Caenorhabditis elegans: one gene and its partner. The protein of the gene in region 2 purifies or fractionates together with the protein of the main gene of each other region. This does not show direct contact. Each region holds a gene or a part of one and is shown on either strand. Other genes may lie near its edges.

Region 1 (4,935 bases), on a different chromosome or scaffold from region 2:
TGGTGTTAGAGCGTCCGATTTCGGTTTGATCTACGTAGATCTACAAAAATTGCGGGAGAAGAGACACAGGGTTATCAACTGATTTCGCTGACGTCACAATTTTTGCGCAAAAATTCCCGCATTTTTTGTAGATCAAACCGTAATGGGACAGTCTGGCCCACCATGCGTATATTTTTATCCGAAATTTTATCTCTCCAAAAATAAAAGCAATCTTTTTTTCTAAAATTTCCAAAATCCCAAAAACTCGCCACTTGAAAATAGTTTCATTGTCCATCATCAACATCAGTTCCCTCTCTCCTCAAAACTAGAATAGCAGATGATAGTCTGCCTCATCTTTTTCCATGCCATCTCCAGTCATCGTCTTCCTGTAGGGCCCCCCTCCTGTGTCTCTGCGTCTCTTCGTCTCCCCTACTCTCTCACTTCCTGATTGGCTCGATTGTCCATGACGCCGAGGATAAGACAAGATTTTTTCTTGTGCAATTTCTGTGACTTCTGGGACCAAAAAAATATCGGAGCCACTGCAGGCGATGTTTTTCTGTTTACTTTGTACTTTTTGTTTTGATTTTTCTGAAAAAATTACCGAAAATACTTTATTTTTTATTATTCCGAAACGACGTTTTTCCGATCGAGAGCAGTTTTTTTTGTAGATTTTTGATTATTTTGAAAAGGTTTTTGGGATCGGAAATTTTTTAGTCAAGCTTAAAATTTTTTTTAAGTGTTGGTGTAGATTTACGGGGTCTAAAAGTGTGAAAAAAAATTCAGAAAATAAAAGTTCCAAAAAAATTCAAAACTATCACCCAGACACAAAATTTAGCGATTTTCCCTTCAAAACTACAGTACCTCGGGTCTCGAAGCGACAATTTTTGATATTTTTTTTATTACATGCAAGAAGGTGTGCGCCTTTACAAAGTACTGTAGTTTCAATTTTTCTTTTCGAGTTTTCATGCATAGTTTTTCACATGATTTTTTATTTTCTATAATATTTAAGTTTTTAAATGAATAAACATATTTTTGCTTGAGAAACTATAAAAATTGGCAAATTTCGAAACTACATCGTTTCGAGACCAGGGACTGTATTTTTAGAGCGAAAATTCTGGAAATTTTCAACTGGAAATTTTCTCTTTTTCTTAATTTAGGAGGACCCTAAAAAAAGAGTATTCTTAAAATTTCAAAAAATAAAAAATATATCCCTCATTTCGGCTTGATCTACGTTGATCTACAAAAAATGCGGGAGAAGAGACGCAGAGTTCTCAAGAACTTGCTGACGTCACATTTTCAGGGCAAAAAACTCCCGCATTTTTTGTAGATCAAACCGTAATGGGACAGCCTGGCACCACGTGCCCTAGATTAATCAAAGATTTTAAGAAAAATCCGCTCCAGGAGCATTTCTAAAGACTACTTAAATACGTGGTGTCAGGCTGTCTCATTACAGCTTAATCTACAAAAAATGCGGGAATATTTTTCCAGAAAAGTTGTGACGTCAGCACAGCAGTGCAAAATCAGATGAGATGTCTGCGTCTCAGCTCCCGCATTTTTCGAAGATCAAAACGAAATGGGACTTTCTGACTCCACGTGCTTACAGAGTGTTCACCATTTTCTCCAATATTCGATCACCCTCATGCACCATGCCATTCCCCCCTCTTCACCCCCCGTTTCCCAAATACCAGACGGGCTCCAATTTCTGTCAATGATTTGCATCTCATTGACATTCGCCCCGCGGACACTCCATAATCATACCCCCGCCCCGTGACTCCGCCTCCTTTTTCGTTATTTGATTAATTTCGAACATTTTAGACTGCCTGCCTATAATGCATCATATCCTGAGACGTCGGTAGATTTTTGGTAGCAGACTTTTTTTTTGGATTTTTCCAACAATGCGTTTAGTTATTGCACAGTTTCTTCTAATAACTCAGGTATTTGCTGCACAAAAAAATAGTATTGGTAAGAGTTTTGTAACTTTAAAATGTCTGAAACTGTGAACTCCAGGTCCCCCGAAGCTTCTAGAACAATCAGGCGAAGAGGTGTGGTATCATTTAGATGATGAGGATCTCCTCAAAAACAGGTTGACACTTCGTTGCGAGGCAGATGAGAATACTGACAGGTGGGTGGAAATTTGGGATTGACAGGTGCTGCGTAAAACATGCAAGCCTACCTAGGCACCTACTAGGTGCCTACCTGCCTACGTGCCTTGTACCTCTGTGCCTAGCAGGTGTCTAGTAGGCACCACCAACCTCGTGTTTACTTGCCTACGCCTCTAGTGAACAATACATTTTTATGCCTGCTTGCCTACTGGCATAGTAGGTACTACAAATTCCAGCTCTGCCTACTGCCTATTTTTTTTTAACTTTTTCGGTTTTTTTAGTTGAGTTTTTGGTTTGGTTGAAGGTACTTCGCACTATGCAGCTTATGTCTGGGCGCCTGTATATTGTAGGCCCTGCCTATAGGTATACATTTTTAAAATAGCGTGCCTACGTGCCTTCATGTCTGAAACTGAGAAATCTTGTTTTTTTTGTTGAGAATTTGATGAAAATTTTTGAGAGAATTCGAGAGCATTTTTTAAAATAGCTGTGAAAAGTTTGCGAAAAACCGTCGCCTGCCAGGCGCCTACCGAAAGACATGAGGCAGGTGTAGGCCTCCCATGTGGTAGGCAGGTAGACATTTATGCCTATATAAATAAACTATTTCTGCAATAAAAGTATGTGTTTTTTGGTTGTAGGCACAAGACAGGCAAAGGTCACCTCGAAGGTAGGCAGGCACGTAGGTAGCTATTTAGGGCAGGTAATTAGGTAGGTATGTAGGCAGGCATTTATCAACTCTATTTCCAGATACTCCTGGCTCAAAGACGGTGAGCCATTCGTCATTGATTCCGAAGATGTTCTTTGGGAAAAAGAAAGTCAATCTGGATCAATTGTTTTTACAAAACCTCATGCTAGTCATCAAGGGTGAGAAATTCAGATTTTTGGAAAAAAAAACCAAAAAATATTGCAGATATTATCAATGTTTCGCATCGAATATATTTGGAACAGCACTTTCGAACAAAATGCATTTGAGGCTTGGATGTTAGTTTTTAGATGATTTTTAGAATTTTAAAATACTGGTGGGAAAGTCGAATTTTATTTTTTGAACAATTTTGTGAAAAAATTATTTTGGCGCATAAAAAAATAGGAATAAAAAACGTTAATTTTTCCAGAACACATTGGATTATTTTCAGCATGGAAAATGCCCTGAGAATGTTAAAATTTGAATATTAAAAAAAATTCTGCGGGAAGTTAAAATTCAATTTTTTAGTTTCTAACGAAATTTGGTGTGGAATTTTAACTCAATTTTTGCCAGAAATTTTGGTGGGAAATTCAAATTTAAAACTTTTCAAAATTTGGAAAAATTAAAATTCAGTTTTGAAGCCATTTTTTCAACAACTTCCAGTATCAATCAATAAATAATAAGAATTATGCTAATAATAATAATAATGTGTTTGTTTTGAATTTGGCTCAATGAGCACTCGAGTGCTCTTTTTGCCCCCTTTTAGCTCGCCAAGGTGCTAATTAGTGAATGGGGACGGATTTAATCAAGACCACCCACCACCACATGTTGATTATTATAAAAAGGGAAGGGGAGAAAAAAGAAAAAAGAAAATGATATGTTTTATCGAATGTGGTGTCAGAGCGTTTCATTTCGGCTTGATCTACGTTGATCTACAAAAAATGCGGGAGAAGAGACGCAGGGTTATCAACTGATTTCGCTGACGTCACAATTTTTGGACTAAAAATTTCCGCGTTTTTTAGATCAAACCGTAATGGGACAGCCTGACACCACGTGTTATCGAGAAAATTAATTATTTCCAGCACTGGAACACTTTCCAAAACGGGATGTTAAACTATTGAGAGTGAAGGAAGGAGAGTCGCTGACGTTGAATTGCACACCGCCACGTGGCACACCTGATCCGAAAATTGTCTGGCTTTATAGGTAAGGGAATAGGCAAAATTTCTTAAAAACACAGAATTGAAGTTTTCCAAAATTTTAACAAAAACAAAAAATTTGGGAGATTCGTAAAATTGCACGTTTTTTTGTGTAAAAAAAAATACGTCGAAACTTCCGGCAAATCGGCAAATTGCCGAAATTAAATTTCTGGCAAATCGGCGAATTGCCAGAATTGAAAGTTCCGGGAAATCGGTGAATTGTGGGAATTGCAATTCCCGGAAAATTGGCAAATTGTCGGAATTGAAATTTCCGGCAAATCGGCATATTGCCGGAATTGAAATTTTCGGCAAATTGGCAAATTGTCGGAAATCAAATTTCCGGCAAATCGGCAAATTGCCGGAATTGAAATTTTCGGCAAATCGGCAAATTGTCGGAATTGAAATTTCCGGTAAATCGGCAAATTGTCGGAAATCAAATTTCCGGCAAATCAGCCAACTGCTGGAATTGAAATTTCCTGCAAATCGACAAATCGTCGGAATTGAAATTTCCGGAAAATTGGCGAACTGTCGGAATTGAAATTGTCGGCAAATCGGCAAATTGCCGGAAACGAAAATTTCCGGCAAATCGGCAAATTGCCAGAATTGAAATTTCTGGAAAATCGGTAAATTAATGGAGTTGAAATTTTCGGCAAATTGTCGGAATTGAAATTTCCGGCAAACCGGTAAACCGGCAATTTGCCAATATTGAAATTTCCGGCAAATCGGCAAATTGTCGGAATTGAAGTTTCCGGCAAATCGGCAAACTATCGGAATTGAAATTTCCAGCAAATCGGCAAATTGCCGGAAACGAAAATTTCCGGCAAATCGGCAAATTGCCAGAATTGAAATTTCCGGCAAACCGGTAAATTAATGGAGTTGAAATTTTCGGCAAATTGGCAAATTGTCGGAATTGAAGTTTCCGGCAAATCGGCAAACTATCGGAATTGAAATTTTCAGCAAATCGGCAAATTGCCGGAAA
Region 2 (8,077 bases):
ATGTATAGTACGGATTCTAGGAAGTCTTCCACATAAGTTTCTACTGTTCCCTTTGAAGTGAGCAACCTTGTTAGGTACACTTCTGGAATAGATTTGGGTAGCAAATTGCTGTCGTTTGAAGATTTCTTCTTGAAAGTCATAGTTCCAGATGACGGATTTGTTAGGTGATAGTATTTTGAAGATGAATAAATTGGAGAGCATCGATCTAACGATGACCAGGAAGATTGTCCAGAATCTGCGAGAGAATCTGAAATTTTAAGGGTTATATTCAAATTTTGTTTCTTCAATTAACTCACTTCTATAGCTTTCCGCTGTATAAACCGCTGGAGACATTTCCAGCGTACAGCCATCACTGATACCGTAATCTGCCAAAGTGAACAACTTTACTGGTAGCTTTTTCTGCGATAACGTCTCAATTGGCAAAACATCGGTCAGTTTCACATCTCCCCGTTTGGGACATTTATATTCTGAAAAAAAACTGATTGAAGACACATATGGGATTATTTATGACCCACTCAATTCGAACTGCGTTATTCTCGGTCGCTGTGAATATGGTGTTTCACGATAGACAGCTGAAGCAACTTTTTGTTTGACTTGACAAATTGCGTCGCATGCATGAACTTCAAGATCTATTGATTCATCGCATTTTTCAAATGGAATCACACGAATTTTCTGAAAATTAACCAAAAATAGCATATCAATTAGACTTGCTTTCCCTTTTCCTGTGGGATCAACTGTAAACGTTTCAAAACTGAAACAAAGGTATGTTGTTAAAATGAATTATATATTTTCTGATTAATCCAGGTTAAATAACTATGTAAATTTGTTACATCAATTCACAATTTTGTGGAATTTCTACCAAAATTCGTTTCTTCCGATAATAAAATTTAGTAGCCGTTCATAATAACCGTTGATTCTCTCGTAGTCTAGTAAACTTTGAAATAATAGGAAAATATTTTCTCACTATTTCATCTTATATACTACGTTGTTATTTTACTAACCCGGGTATACTCAAATTTACTAGAACTACTTGACTACAAACTACAAGTGCGACATTTGTATTCACTATATTTGGGTAATTATACTTGGAATAAATTATAAAAATGAGTTTTGAACTCGTAGTAAAAAACATCTAGTAAGATACAATAATAAGATACAAAGCGTAGTAAAAAAAATCACCGTAGTAAAAGATACATTGTAAAGTTAAAAATCATCTTTAACCTCTATGAGTTTAAACACTTGTGAAACTTTTTATAAAACCTTGAACATTTGAAAATTTGAAAAAAAGCTCACCAAAGTCTTTGTGTCCACACTCTCCCTTAACAATTTGGCCTCGTTAATCGTATATCTCGCATCACCGGTCACCGCGTCCACGGGTCCTTTGTCAGTTTGATATTGTAGCGCCTTATATAGATAGAAGTACGAGTTCATTTGCGGAGTCAAATGGGAGTACAAACAAATGCTCATCCACTTTGAGAACATTTTCTCCACCACCGAGTCACTATTCCGAAACAGTAACTCGGCGCGCTTATTTTGAACCGATCTTGCGATATGGGCACGTAGAAGGTCCACAACAACTTCAGTGCAATAAGAGAAGTTTCGAAGTAACACAGATATCAGGAGGCTTGCTAACATTGACTTCTCTGATGTTGATATGGAGACATCCGATTCTGCAGCTTCTACGATAGTGAAAATAAAGCCTTTGAAGCTCAGAAGTGCATGAAATTGAGCAAGAGTCACTGGGAGAGTCCTTGCCAAACTCGGCGCAGATGTAAGGTTGTTATCAGACCAGAGCAGGTTCTCCACAAAATGCGGGAAGTTGATGAGTTCCGGTCCAAGGTTCACAGAATTTGCAGACTTTGGAGATAGTACTAGGTTTGTTTGAAGTTCAGCGAATGCTTGCTTGCATTCTTTACGAACATTGTTTTCAAGATTTTCCATTTGAAGCTGAATCTTTCGGTATTCTTTCTCTCGTTCTTGACGCCTCCGCTTGAAAACCAAGCACATCACAGTCAACGTGACAACAATGAACAGAAGTAGCCCAAGAATCAAAAGTGATAGTCTGGACGGGAGTGCATGATCGGAATACTCAATCAACCCAAGCTCCATTCTAAGTGATCCAACTATTACAGTAACCAGCGGGTTATCCCCATTAATTGGAATTCCTCTTTCATCGGTAGCTTTTGGTTGCCTCACCGGTCCCGAGCACACCAATTGCCTAACATCTACAAGTGTCACGTAGCATCTCTCATTTCCAATGAAGATCTTGAAATCATTTGGCTCCGCAGCAAGATTTAGATTGTGTCCTTCAAGAATGAGTGATTGTTCTCCCTGATGATATCGTACTCCTTTGAACGGAGAAAGCGTCGGATTCGGATAGATGCCCATCTGAATTCGTCTTCCCAAATTTGCTACAGCTGTGACATTGTCCATGTGAAAACCCACAGGTTGCCGTGTATACTCAACTCTTCTAGTGATTGTTTCCAAAATTTTTGGAGTCATACAAGTCATTAATGTAGAGTTAATGATGTGACATGGAGCCAGATCAGATATTATATAAAACGGAGGTGTTGGAGATGATATGAGGAATAGCTTTGCTGTTTGAACAGTGTTCAATGAGTTGCCTTGAACATAAACAATTCTTCCGCCGGCTTTGAAAGAAGTCATCGGGAAGATTGAGCTAATAGACGGGTCCGATCGATATTCAAATGGTTGATCGAGTTGAGTCTGGGAGTGATCCACATGAACAACTACTCTAGCAGATTTTCCAATTCGAGTTCCAGAAGGTGTTAGACAAGTCAAAACTGTTGAAGAATTTACCCTTTCAATAGGACACGGCATGCCACCAACTGTCACAGAGGTTTGAGATCCACTTGATAAGTTCTGACCGTACAGAGTTATTCGAGTTCCGCCAGATATTGGGCCATACAGGGGGTAAGCGGAGAATATTGATGTTCTTACAAACGAATATAGTTCCGATGATTCTGCTACTGCAACTGTTGCCCGACCAACTGATATCCTGATTGGGCCCGAGCTGACACCTTTGTCGACTTGACATGCAATCATGTTAGAAACATGATACTCCACAATATTACATCTAGAACCGGCGACATAGATCTTTCCACGAACGTCTTCTACAGACATGCCCAGGTCATTCCCATAGATTTTGATGATTGTGCCTCCTTCGATGGGCCCACTTGTTGGTTCGAACTGAAACATTTTTAAATACAAGATATATACGTATTCATATCATTTTTACTTTATCGATTCTTGGTGGATCACACACAGCAGTGGCCTTTGACTCGTGGCACTCGTGGGAGCACTGTCGATTACACCATCCACATGATAGTGAAGGGGAAAGAGCAAGACAACTGGAACAGTCAGATGCCAGGTTGGTGCAAGAGTAAAGGGACACTGAAAAGCAGTTCAATTAAAGTATGTATTGTAAACTGAATTCACAAATCTCTGGTACTTACCATTAGCAATATCAATTACAGAGTCCCTTGTGATCAGGCTCAACGGAACCACCATGTTTGCACTCGTAGTGTTGCTCAAAGTCAACTGAATCTTGCCACAACGGATACTATCGCTTGCAATCTTTGCAAGAGACACTTGCTCGTTTACTTTACAAAAATGTTCGTGCCTTCGATCAAGAGTATCCAGGTTAGACGCCTCGAGCACGATTTCTTGTTGAGAACCGATAGCAATTGGGAGCCTCATTGGTTGAATTTTCACGCAGGCTTTTGATTTTTCCAATGCCCCACAGGAATTCGAACATTTGTGCAATCCAGAGCACCAGGCACAATTGTACTCAGAGCTCATACAGGACGAGCATGTACCGTAACCCGAGCAATCGTAAACTGTGAAGTTGTGACGGCTGATTGGATTATTGGAAATTGATGTTAGCAACAAAATTTCAAAAGTGTTTGGTGATGTAAAAATTTCCGATGGGCATGAAACTCCGGTCGTTGTCCAGTTAGCTTTGATAGATGATGTTGATGTTCCGAATTGGCATCTATAAGTGAAACCGACTGGAGGTGGAAGATGGTGAATGTTGAAGGATATAGGGGTAGAGGAGTTCACGGAGACTATTGAAGGAATCGGATCACCATCGACAATTGGACACTGAGAAGTCTGAAACGTGTATGCCAAAATAGAACAAAGATAAACTTGCTTACAACTGGACTAGTACACCTTGCTGAAGTCGTACACGATTGCGTCGGATGACACCATTGGCAGAGTGGGTCTACAGAGACTAAGCATTCTGTGCATGAGCTGTGATGAGAGCAAGTGGAAAGCTCTTCTAATATGATCTAAAAAACCAAAATTTGTTCTACATGAAACCCTTTTTTCAAAATAAACTTACTCCATATGGCATCTGCACAATGACAAAATCCCCAAATTTGACCATTTTGCTGACCTCGCTCCCAGTTCGCCCATCTCCAACTTCCTTTCTACCGTACTCTTCCAACTGGTTTGAATGGTGCTCGTCCCATTTAAACTAAAATTGTTTGTAATAGTTTTTTTAAAGATCAGTCCTATGATTTCAAGAAATAATCCCTTTGTGATATGCATTTGATTGACATTTGTTTTCATATACATTTTTGAAGATTAAAGTGTCATTCGAAATGCTGTTTAGGGTCAGCGACAATGATGGATCACAAGCAGTTAGTCGTGTGAATCTAGCTAGCTTTTTTAGTAAAATTTACCATCACAATCTGCGAAGTTGTTGTTCCCGCGAAAATTGCTTTTTGATCTACAGCCATCAATGACGTCACCTTTCCCATAATGTCTTTTGTGGACATCTCAACAAGTTCAATTGATCCACCAACACCGAGCTCACAGCTATCTTCGTCGAGGGGTATGTGGGCTTTCTGAAAAGCGAAATAATTTCTTCATTGAAAAACCTAAAACTTGCATTAACACATTTTGTATCTCTCCCGATATGAGGTAGTCTAATCGAATCAGTACCACTTCTACACCTATCCACATTGTACCAAAAAGTCAGCTTCACTTTTTGCATCGAAAATACACAAATGGAACTTTTTGGAGATGTGGATGATGTTGAGAACGATGCGATCAGCTTGTCGTAGGATTGAATGATTGCGTTCAGAAATGGATAGTTGGTATTGTCCTCTCCGCGGCATTGAAGTTCGATTTCAGAGTAGGATTCAAATCTGAAAATAGGGATATAACTTTTGCTAATTTTTGGCCTAAACACCTACTTTGTGTCATTTCGGCAGAATCGTATCAACCTGGTTGTCATAGGTAATCTTGACTCTCTTGGTGTGACCATGGCGACCACAAACACAAAATGTTGATGCGTAAAGGTGTACAAAAACTTGAATGCATTCTTGTAAGCTGCTCTCAGGAAAACTGCAGCTTCTCCTTCCAGATCACCGGCATTCTCAACATTCAGACCGGGCAAGTTTCGAATTGCAACCGCTGGAAACGGGTCTCGATACGGAGATTCTTTCGTTGCACTTGCCGCAACAATTAAACGATTATCGATGATTTTCGATACTGTGGACGCGTCTGGAGAATTCGCGGCAACTGCGATAGTGGATTCAGTGATGAGAGATAACTTCGAATTGAACGTGGAGCATGACCCGAGCTTTACAGAACCACACTGAAGAATTTGATTTGTGGGAAGGATTTGTAGGATTTTTGTGCGAACATCTGTTGGGAAGGGGCGATTGTCTCTGAAAATAATAATTTGGATAAAGACGTGATGTTGATTAACTAGCTTTAAGCAAGATTTTCCATCTGCAGAGCACCAAGGAGAATCTTGAACCGGACCGAGTGAAACCTCATGTTGTATTGAAAAATTAGAAATTGATAAAGATGTTAGTCGGTTGAGAGATGCCACGTAGATCTGAAAGATTAAAATTACTCAGGTACCAACTATAGGCTTCTGCTTAGGCTTATTAGGCAGGCAGAAATGAGGGCGTGCCTAGCTTTCAAAAATGATAGTTTTCTCAAAATTCTCGAAATTGTGAGATGTCCTACCGTTTGTTGGTCCCTCGAGACAATAAAGTCGTCAATGTGTCCAGAAAAATGAAATAATTTTTGTTTCACGCCTTCTGTTTCAAAGGGCGGCTGGGTTACCGCCCGCAGAAAATGGCTGATTAGGAGAAGAAACACCGATTCGGGGAGCATAATCGCATTTCTGAAAATAAGAAGATTTATGATCATTTCAGAAAAAAAGTAATAGAGAAATTTAAAAGAAGTTTAGCCAATTCAGAAATTTGAAAATAAAGGTACTAATATGCCTGCATGTTTGACTAAAAGGCGATTAACTCCTAACTTCTACCAACTCATCGAAGTAATAAAACGTGACACCAAAAAAGAATTTACTAACCTCAATAGTATTTTGATTAAAAATTTTCATGAAAAACCAAAAATGCAAAAACTAGGTTAATTCATTCCAAAAAAAAATGTAATAAATTTTTCCAACATAAGGAAATACCTGTGTCCAATGTCTCCCCATTCTTCAATAACCACATAACCTATAAATCACTTGAAACGTGAACGAATTCAATGTTTAATTGTAATGCAATACAATACTTGACTGACCATTTCCATCATGATCAATCAAACGAAAAAAAGTGAACCGATGGTCGTCGATGAAGCGAATCGGTTAGACATTTTTTGTGCAGACATTTACAAAATGGTCATTTGTTTGTTACGTTTTGAAGAAGTACATTTGGATTAGTAAATACAATTTATAAATTTCTCATTTTATAGATTGTTTGAACCAAATTCAGAATTAACTAGTAGTGACCAAAATTTTTGTAGTTCTAGTTGTATAAGGCATAGATCACCTTGTAGGCAGGCAGGCAGTTATATTTTTTGAATAGAAGCCGTAGCCTTTTGGAGGTCCGTAGAGAAACATGTAATATTTTAAAAAGAAACGGAAACGTAAAATGAGGGGAAATGAGTAAAAATGACATAAATGTAATCCCCAAATGAGTTTTCGGTCCTATAGGGTCCAAACCAAAAATGGAACATGAAACTGAGAAGCAAAAGAAGATATGAAAAAGAGCACAAGCAAAAAAGAGCAAAAAATGGGATGGACAATGAAAATAGATGGACGGACAAGGGGAAATGTGTCAGGAGGATCCGGAGGGACTGGGTAAGCCGGGTTGGGGGAAAATGAAATAGAAATATGTATGTACATACGAAAAAATCTGAAACTAGATAAATATTCATTAATGATCACTAACTCGGCAGACAGATGTTCAGTTTGTATTTGCGAAAAGTCGGGTAGAGAGCAACCCGCGAATTATGTCAAAGAAAATGATTAATGAGTTTGATTCTAATCGATCACATGGTGAGGACTCCGGAACAGAGTGTGTAAAGTTTATAGTATTGATTATTGAAATAGTGATGGTTATTTGTGGGGCAGTGGGATTTCATTTAAAAAAAAACTCCTTTAGTGCTAATATTTCAGAACGCCTTTACACAACATTTGGCAGTTTTGGGCCATATGGGTCTAGACTAAAATTTCACAAAAATTCAAATAATTGAAATAATTTGGATTATATCTTGAAAAACTGCCGACTGGTACAAAAATAAAAATGCATGCACATTAGGATCATTAGTAGGTGTTCTATATAGACTAAGGAAGCGTATATATATACAGCTAAGCCAAGACAAGGCACAAGCTTATGAGTTAATGAGTTAATGAGCTGCGTGGCAGGTGATGACGGCGGAGCGCAAGAGACAACGGAAGACGGTGTCAAAAACAAACAGAGCGTGTTCTAGGGGTTAAGTAGGTTGTGAACCTATTAACATGAGAGTTTCAAGAAGAACTAAGAACACATGTACATAGGAAGGTTTTGCTCAATTGCCGGAGTTCCCTTATAAACATCGTGTCTGGAACCTAGTAGCGTTGTTTAAATTTTTTAAAAATTAGTTTTGTCTTTCGGTAACTTTCGATTCTTTGTAATTTTTCTACCAGCCGCACAGCCTTATTGCAAACTGAGTAACTGCTATTTTCTGACTGTAACTTTTCAAAAAACTTTATTTCTGCATAGTGAAATTGGCAGATTCAGCACTATTTTTGTAATCAAAC

Evidence for each region.
Region 1: the proteins of plx-2 (region 2) and lad-2 purify together in Caenorhabditis elegans (affinity purification with western blotting, with the first as the bait; one study listed by BioGRID). This does not show direct contact.

What each region holds. Positions count from the first base shown.
Region 1 is NC_003282.8:2,975,338-2,980,272, reverse strand, and holds the start of lad-2 (Neuroglian), read left to right. Parts: upstream 1-1,788; 5' UTR 1,789-1,874; coding exon 1,875-1,941; intron 1,942-1,986; coding exon 1,987-2,101; intron 2,102-2,825; coding exon 2,826-2,942; intron 2,943-2,988; coding exon 2,989-3,059; intron 3,060-3,842; coding exon 3,843-3,963; intron 3,964-4,935.
Region 2 is NC_003280.10:14,418,723-14,426,799, forward strand, and holds the start of plx-2 (Plexin-2), read right to left. Parts: upstream 6,170-8,077; 5' UTR 6,160-6,169; coding exon 6,010-6,159; intron 5,876-6,009; coding exon 5,748-5,875; intron 5,703-5,747; coding exon 5,226-5,702; intron 5,178-5,225; coding exon 4,919-5,177; intron 4,875-4,918; coding exon 4,710-4,874; intron 4,502-4,709; coding exon 4,367-4,501; intron 4,314-4,366; coding exon 4,179-4,313; intron 4,135-4,178; coding exon 3,477-4,134; intron 3,415-3,476; coding exon 3,260-3,414; intron 3,211-3,259; coding exon 1,294-3,210; intron 673-1,293; coding exon 516-672; intron 468-515; coding exon 297-467; intron 248-296; coding exon 1-247. UniProt on the Caenorhabditis elegans protein: Involved as a receptor for mab-20/sema-2a in the formation or stabilization of cell-cell contacts at several stages of epithelial morphogenesis. In early embryonic development, required for proper ventral closure of the epidermis.